2 linked regions of the Oryctolagus cuniculus genome follow. The protein of the gene in region 1 interacts with the protein of each later gene in a biochemical or structural test. Links are inferred from orthologs where the notes say so. Each region holds a gene or a part of one and is shown on either strand. Other genes may lie near its edges. The genes, in order: RRM1 and RRM2.

Region 1 (3,819 bases):
ATAAAATAATGAAAAACATTAAGAGATCAAGAATATTTGGAAAAATAAAGGTTTATTGAGGAAAAGAATTATCTAATCTAGACTTTAAGTCCCTAAAACAAGGTCAGCTGTTTTCACTATGGTAAGCAACTTGCAGATTACTATACAAAATCTTATGAAGTATTTTTCCAAAAATAGCTCTGAGGTAGGTCATTTGGTCCATTTGAAAGAGGAGGAGAAAAAATTAGTTTCAAAAGTTAAAATGTTAAGTCTATTTTCTGAAGAGCCAAAGGAGAACTCAAACCCTCCTGTCTTTGAAGCTACCTTAAATCTCTCTACTTACTTTGCAATCTTCTCCTTAAGAAGTTTCCAGTCCCAAAGATCTGTGGGAGTAACATTCCACATATCATACTGAAGAATCTAAGAAATAAAATGCCAAAATTTGTGACATCACTCTATGACAATTTAAAACAAGAACAAAACAAATGGCCCACTGTCATGTCATCCCAACATAGGCTTTCTTCTAGTCAATTTGTGTGAGGAATACAAAGTCCACAGATTTTCCTGGACAAACGTCCATGTGTTCATACTGATCAGAAACAGGCTTAAAAAAACTGGCTAAGGCCTTCTCTTCCACACATCTCTGCTGAATCTTCTCAGAGAACCCACATCATAGCTACAAACTAGGAAATCCCAATGTTCATGAATACTTGCTGCTGAGATGCATTCTCTCTTTTTACAGGAACAGTTCACTCTGACCTTATCTTTCTTCACTGCCTTACCCTGTCCCTTGATCTTTTTAACTCAGCTAAAATCACCTATTTACAAACACCACACATTTTATTTCTGAAGTATCAGCAGAACATCAGAGCTAAATGAACATTTTTATGTAGCAGGGAATCCTATTGATACTACTGATAATAAAGGTGGTATGGAGGGCAGAGTTCTAAGATTCAAACCCAGATACCTCCCCCTAGTACACTGGCCATGTACAACTCCCTCTACTTGAGTGTAGACATCTGGGAATATGATGAATGTTCAGGATTATAGAACAGGTAAAGAGTTTTTGCAATGTGCAATTAAGGTTGCAAATCAGTTCAGTTTGAGCTAAACAAAAAGAAAATTATCTAAGGTAGACCTGACTTAATAAAAGCACTCAGAAGGACTCTTTAGATTGTCTCTCCCCTTGGTCTTGAAGAAGCAAGATGCCATAGGTTTTAAAGCTACAAAATGAATTCTGCCAACAGCCAAATAAGTTTGAAAGAGCACCCTGAGCCATAGATGAGACCATAGCCCCTACCAAGATCTTCACCACAGCTTCATGAAACCCAAAGAAGACGGTCAGCTAAGCCAAGCCTGAACTACTGACACAGGGAAACTGTGAGATAATACATGTATGTTTTTATAATCCACTAAATTTAGCAATAAAAAACTAATGCAGGCAGCATTTTTCTTGTTATTTCTGCAGTGACCACTTCTAAATTTTAAAAAATTAAGAGTATCATTTTTACACCAAAGGATAAAGGTACAGAAGTTTCTCATGGCTGGTGGAACAAATTACCATATACTTTGGAGCTTAAAACAACCAAATGTAAAGGCCAGTGTTGGGGCATAAGTGGGTAATGCTGCTGCCTGCAACACAACCATCCCACTTCCCACCCATCTCCCTGCTAATGGCCTGGGAAAAGCAACAAAATGATGGCCCAAGTACTTGGGCCCGATACCCATGTGAGACACCAAAATGAAGCTCCTGGCTTCAACCTGGCCCAGCCCTGGCCATTGGGGTCACCTGGGGAGTAAACCAGCAGATGGAAGTGCGCTCTCTCTCTCTCTCTCTGACTTCCAAATAAATAAATATTTTTGTTTGTTTGATGGTTTTATTTATTTAAGATTTATTTTATTTGTTTGAAAGACAGAGTTACAGAGAGAGGTAGAGACAGAGAGAGAGGTCCTCCATCCGCTGGTTCACTCCCCAGATGGCCACAACGGCAGGAGCTGCACCAATCCAAAGCCAGGAGCCAGGAGATTCTTCCGGGTCTCCCACGTGGGTGCAGGGGCCCAAGGACCCAGGCCATCCCCTACTGCCATCCCAGGCCATAGCAGAGAGCTGGATCAGAAGAGGAGCAGCCGGGACCAGAACCAGTGCCCATATGGGATGCCAGCGCTTCAGACCAGGGCTTTAACCTGCTGCACACAGCACAGGCTCCAATAAATATTTTTTTTTAATTTTATTCTTTCATAGTTCTGGAGACTAGGAACTCAAAAACCTGTTGGGAGGGGCTACACTTCCTGCAGAGGCACTAGAGGAGGTTCTGTTCATTGCCTCTTCTAGTGTCCAGTGGCAATCAGCATTCCTGGGCTTGTGCCTGTATTACTTGGATTTCTCCCTCCACGTTCCTTCTCTTTTGTTTATGTCTCTCTTACAGGACAACTGTCAGTAGATTTAGAATCCACCTAGATAATTCAGGATGATCTCTTCATCTCAACATCTCAATTATATCTGCAGAGACCCTTTTTTGAACCACGTAAGTGACAATCACAGATTATAGGGACTAGGATGTGGATATATCCTTTGGGGAACTACCATTCAGATCACAATGGGTACTCACAAGTAAAAGGACATTTCATTCATATACTTACTCCTTTGCTTACTGGACAGCCCTCATAGGTTTCATATGGGCCATGCTCCTTGGCTAGGTCACAGCTGGCTTCCAAGGCTCCATAATAAATAGTTTCAAAGATTTGCTTATTCAACAATTGGGCCTCTGGACTCTCAAAAGGATATCTCATCAGAATAAAAGCATCTGCCAGACCTTGTACTCCAATTCCAATGGGACGATGGCGTTTATTTGATAAGCAGGCCTTTGTGCCAACAGATTTAAAGAAAAACAGAATATCTGTTAAATTATGGAAAAGAAAAGGCAACATTCTACACTAAAAACACATATTTCCCCCTACTTCGGTTTTCTCACACAACTCCAACGATAACCATTTAAATGACAATGCAGACCAGGATAAATTCCTTCCATCTTGGATTTCAAAAGTTATTAATAAACAGGCCGGCGCCGTGGCTCAATAGGCTAATCCTCCACCTTGCGGCGCCGGCACACCGGGTTCTAGTCCCGGTCAGGGCGCCGGATTCTGTCCCGGTTGCCCCTCTTCCAGGCCAGCTCTCTGCTATGGCCAGGGAGTGCAGTGGAGGATGGCCCAGGTGCTTGGGCCCTGCACCCCATGGGAGACCAGGAAAAGCACCTGGCTCCTGGCTCCTGCCATCGGATCAGCGCGGTGCGCCGGCTGCAGCGGCGGCCATTGGAGGGTGAACCAACGGCAAAGGAAGACCTTTCTCTCTGTCTCTCTCTCTCACTGTCCACTCTGCCTGTCAAAAATAAAAATAATAATAATAATAAAAAAAAAAAAAAAGTTATTAATAAACAGAGAAATCTATTCATACCTCTGGGACAGGATAGTAATTTATATCAATAATTTTATTCAAGTTTCGGACAATAACTTTAGTAACTTCAGCCAACTTCTTAAAGTCATATGTGTGCTCTGGTGTGACGTACATATTCAAGGCCAGGGAAGCCAAGTTACAAACCGCAACCTGGAATGCAAAGGGAAAGCGTCAGGAATCGTAAGTTTGATTTCTTTCTTTCTCTCTCTCTTTCTTTTTTTTCTTTTTTTTTGGTAAAGATTTATTTGAAAGGCAGAGTTACAGAAAAAGAGGGAGAAATAGAGGGAGAATATCCATCTGTTTGTTCAGCATTATTATTCAGGTGTCCTAAGTGGGTGCAGGGACCCAAGGGCTTGGGCTATTTTCTGCTGCTTTCCCAGGTACATCAG
Region 2 (2,794 bases), on another chromosome or scaffold:
AATCAAATGTTGAGGTTTTTTTTTTTTTCTTTTTTTTTTTTTTTTAAGATTTATTTGAGGCCGGCGCTGCGGCTCACTAGGCTAATCCTCCGCCTAGCGGCGCCGGCACCCCGGATTCTAGTCCTGGTCGGGGCGCCGGATTCTGTCCCGGTTGCCCCTCTTCCAGGCCAGCTCTCTGCTGTGGCCCGGGAGTGCAGTGGAGGATGGCCCAGGTGCTTGGGCCCTGCACCCCATGGGAGACCAGGAGAAGCACCTGGCTCCTGGCTCCTGCCATTGGATCAGCGCGGTGCGCCGGCCGCAGCGCGCCAGCCGCGGCGGCCATTGGAGGGTGAACCAACGGCAAAGGAAGACCTTTCTGTCTCTCTCTCTCACTGTCCACTCTGCCTGTCAAAAAAAAAAAAAAAAAAAAGATTTATTTGAAAGGCAAGATTACAGAGAGACCACAAGAGATCTTCAGCTGCTGGTTCATTCCCCAAATATCTGCAATGGCTAGGACTGGGCCAGACCCAAGCCAGGAGCTTCTCCCAGGTCTCCCAACATGGGTGCCGGGGCCCAAACACTTGGGTGGTCTGCTGCTGCTTCCCCAGGCACATTAGCTGGGAGCTGGATTGGAAGTGGAGCAGCCAAGACTCAAGCCTATGCCCATATGGGTGCTGGTGTCACAGGCTAAGGCTTTGCCTGCTCTGCCACAACACTGGCCCCAAATATTGAGTTTTTTTTTTACAGGCAGAGTGGACACTGAGAGACAGAAAGGTCTTCCTTTTTGCCGTTGGTTCACCCTCCAATGGCTGCCGCGGCCGGCGCGCTGTGCTGATTCGAAGGCAGGAGCCAGGTGCTTCTGGTCTCCCATGGGGTGCAGGGCCCAAGGAGTTTTGGGCCATCCTCCACTGCACTCCCAGGCCATAGCAGAGAGCTGGCCTGGAAGGGGGGCAACCGGGACAGAATCCGGTGCCCCAACCGGGACTAGAACCCGGTGTGTCGGCGCCGCTAGGTGGAGGATTAGCCTATTGAGCCGCGGCACTGGCTTGTTTTTTTGTTTTTAAGATTTATTTATTTATTGGAGCGGCAGAGAGATCTTCCATCCGCTGGTTCACTCCCCAATTGGCCGCAACAGCCGGAGCTGTGCTGATCTGAAGCCAGGAGCTTCTTCCAGGTTTCCCACACAGTGCAGGGGCCCAGCCAGGACTTGGGCCATCTTCTACTGCTTTCCCAGGCCAGAGCAGAGAGCTGGATCTGAAGAGGAGCAGCCGGGACTAGAACCGGCGCCCATATGGGACGCCTTCGCTTCATGCCAGGGCATTAATCCGCTGTGCCACAGTGCCGACCCTCAAATATTGAGATTTTTAGAAGTAATCATTCAGGGGCCAATGCTGTGGCACAGCCGGTTAAGCTGTGGCCTGCAGTGCCGGGATCCCATATAGGTGTTGGTTCAAGCCCTGACTGCTCCACCTCCAGTCCAGCTCTGCTGTGGCCTGGGAAAGCAGCGAAGGATGGCCCAGGTACTTGGGTCCCTGCACCCTCGTGGGAGACCCAGAAGAAGCTCCTGGCTCCAGGCTTTGGCCTGGCACAGTCCTGGCCATTGCAGCCATTTGGGGAGTGAACTGGTGGATGGGCGATCTCAACCTCTACCATCTCTCCTCTATAACTCTGCCTGTCAACTCTTTTTAAAAGTAATATTCAAGGGAAAAGCTAAATAGTGAAAAGAAAACAGTTCACTCTGAGTTCTTTTGGGGAGAGAGCTGACAGATAGTTGAACTTGGCTTTCAATCCGGTGCTGTTAGAAGTTTTGGGAATTGGAGGTCTTTGACCTAAATACTGATGCTGTCTACGCCTCCTAGGGAATTTCTCTTTAATGCCATTGAGACGATGCCTTGTGTCAAGAAGAAGGCGGATTGGGCCTTGCGTTGGATTGGGGACAAAGAGGCGACCTACGGTAAGCTTGCCCGTGGCCACCTTAGACCAGAGCGCGTGTTCCCGGTAATGACACTGCGGGTTTCCCTGGGAATGCCGTGACTCACTGGAAACTCTCGGACAGGAGAACGCGTCGTAGCCTTTGCTGCGGTGGAAGGCATCTTCTTCTCTGGTTCTTTTGCGTCGATTTTCTGGCTCAAGAAACGAGGACTGATGCCCGGGCTTACGTTCTCCAATGAACTTATTAGCAGGGATGAGGTGAGTCCAGTCTCAGGCTGCACCCTGAACACCTGCGGTTCTGAGAGGCACACAGGTCTCATGGCTCCATATCCACGTTTGTTTATTTCCTGTTTATTAAGATTTACTTATTTGAAGGGCAGAGTTAGAGAGGTCTTCCATCTGCTGATTTAACTTCCCGGTGTCTGCTGGGGCCGGGCCAGGTCAAAACCAGGACTCAGAACTCTGGTCTCCCGTGTGAGTGCAGGGGCCCCAGAACTTAGGCACCTGCTGCTGCCTTCCCAGGCGCACTAGCAGGAACTGGAGCAGAAGCGGAGCAGCCAGGACAAGCTGGTGCCCATATGGGATGCCGGTGTTGCAGCCAGCGGGTTAACCCCGTGCACGGCAGTGCCGGCCCATGTCCACATACATATTCAGCAAAAAATGAAGCCCTTTAACTTGCTGACATGTGTTCCCTATATTTATACATGCGTGTTGCTCTTCAGGCTGGACTGTAAAACTCCGTTCCGCTCTGGTAGGGGTCTTCTGGCTTCAGAGTGGTCTTGAGTTTAATTTCTTCCCCAGGGTTTGCACTGCGACTTTGCCTGCCTGATGTTCAAGCACCTGGTCCACAAGCCGTCGGAGCAGAGAGTCCAGGAGATCATCG

Evidence for each region.
Region 2: the proteins of RRM1 (region 1) and RRM2 form a complex in vitro, tested with the Homo sapiens proteins (3 studies listed by BioGRID and IntAct). The link is inferred for Oryctolagus cuniculus from reciprocal best matches to the Homo sapiens genes RRM1 and RRM2.

What each region holds. Positions count from the first base shown.
Region 1 is NC_091432.1:62,784,836-62,788,654, forward strand, and holds part of RRM1 (ribonucleoside-diphosphate reductase large subunit), read right to left. Parts: intron 3,581-3,819; coding exon 3,431-3,580; intron 2,842-3,430; coding exon 2,620-2,841; intron 400-2,619; coding exon 323-399; intron 1-322. UniProt on the Homo sapiens protein: Provides the precursors necessary for DNA synthesis. Catalyzes the biosynthesis of deoxyribonucleotides from the corresponding ribonucleotides.
Region 2 is NC_091433.1:192,177,244-192,180,037, reverse strand, and holds part of RRM2 (ribonucleoside-diphosphate reductase subunit M2), read left to right. Parts: intron 1-1,838; coding exon 1,839-1,933; intron 1,934-2,035; coding exon 2,036-2,169; intron 2,170-2,712; coding exon 2,713-2,794. UniProt on the Homo sapiens protein: Provides the precursors necessary for DNA synthesis. Catalyzes the biosynthesis of deoxyribonucleotides from the corresponding ribonucleotides. Inhibits Wnt signaling.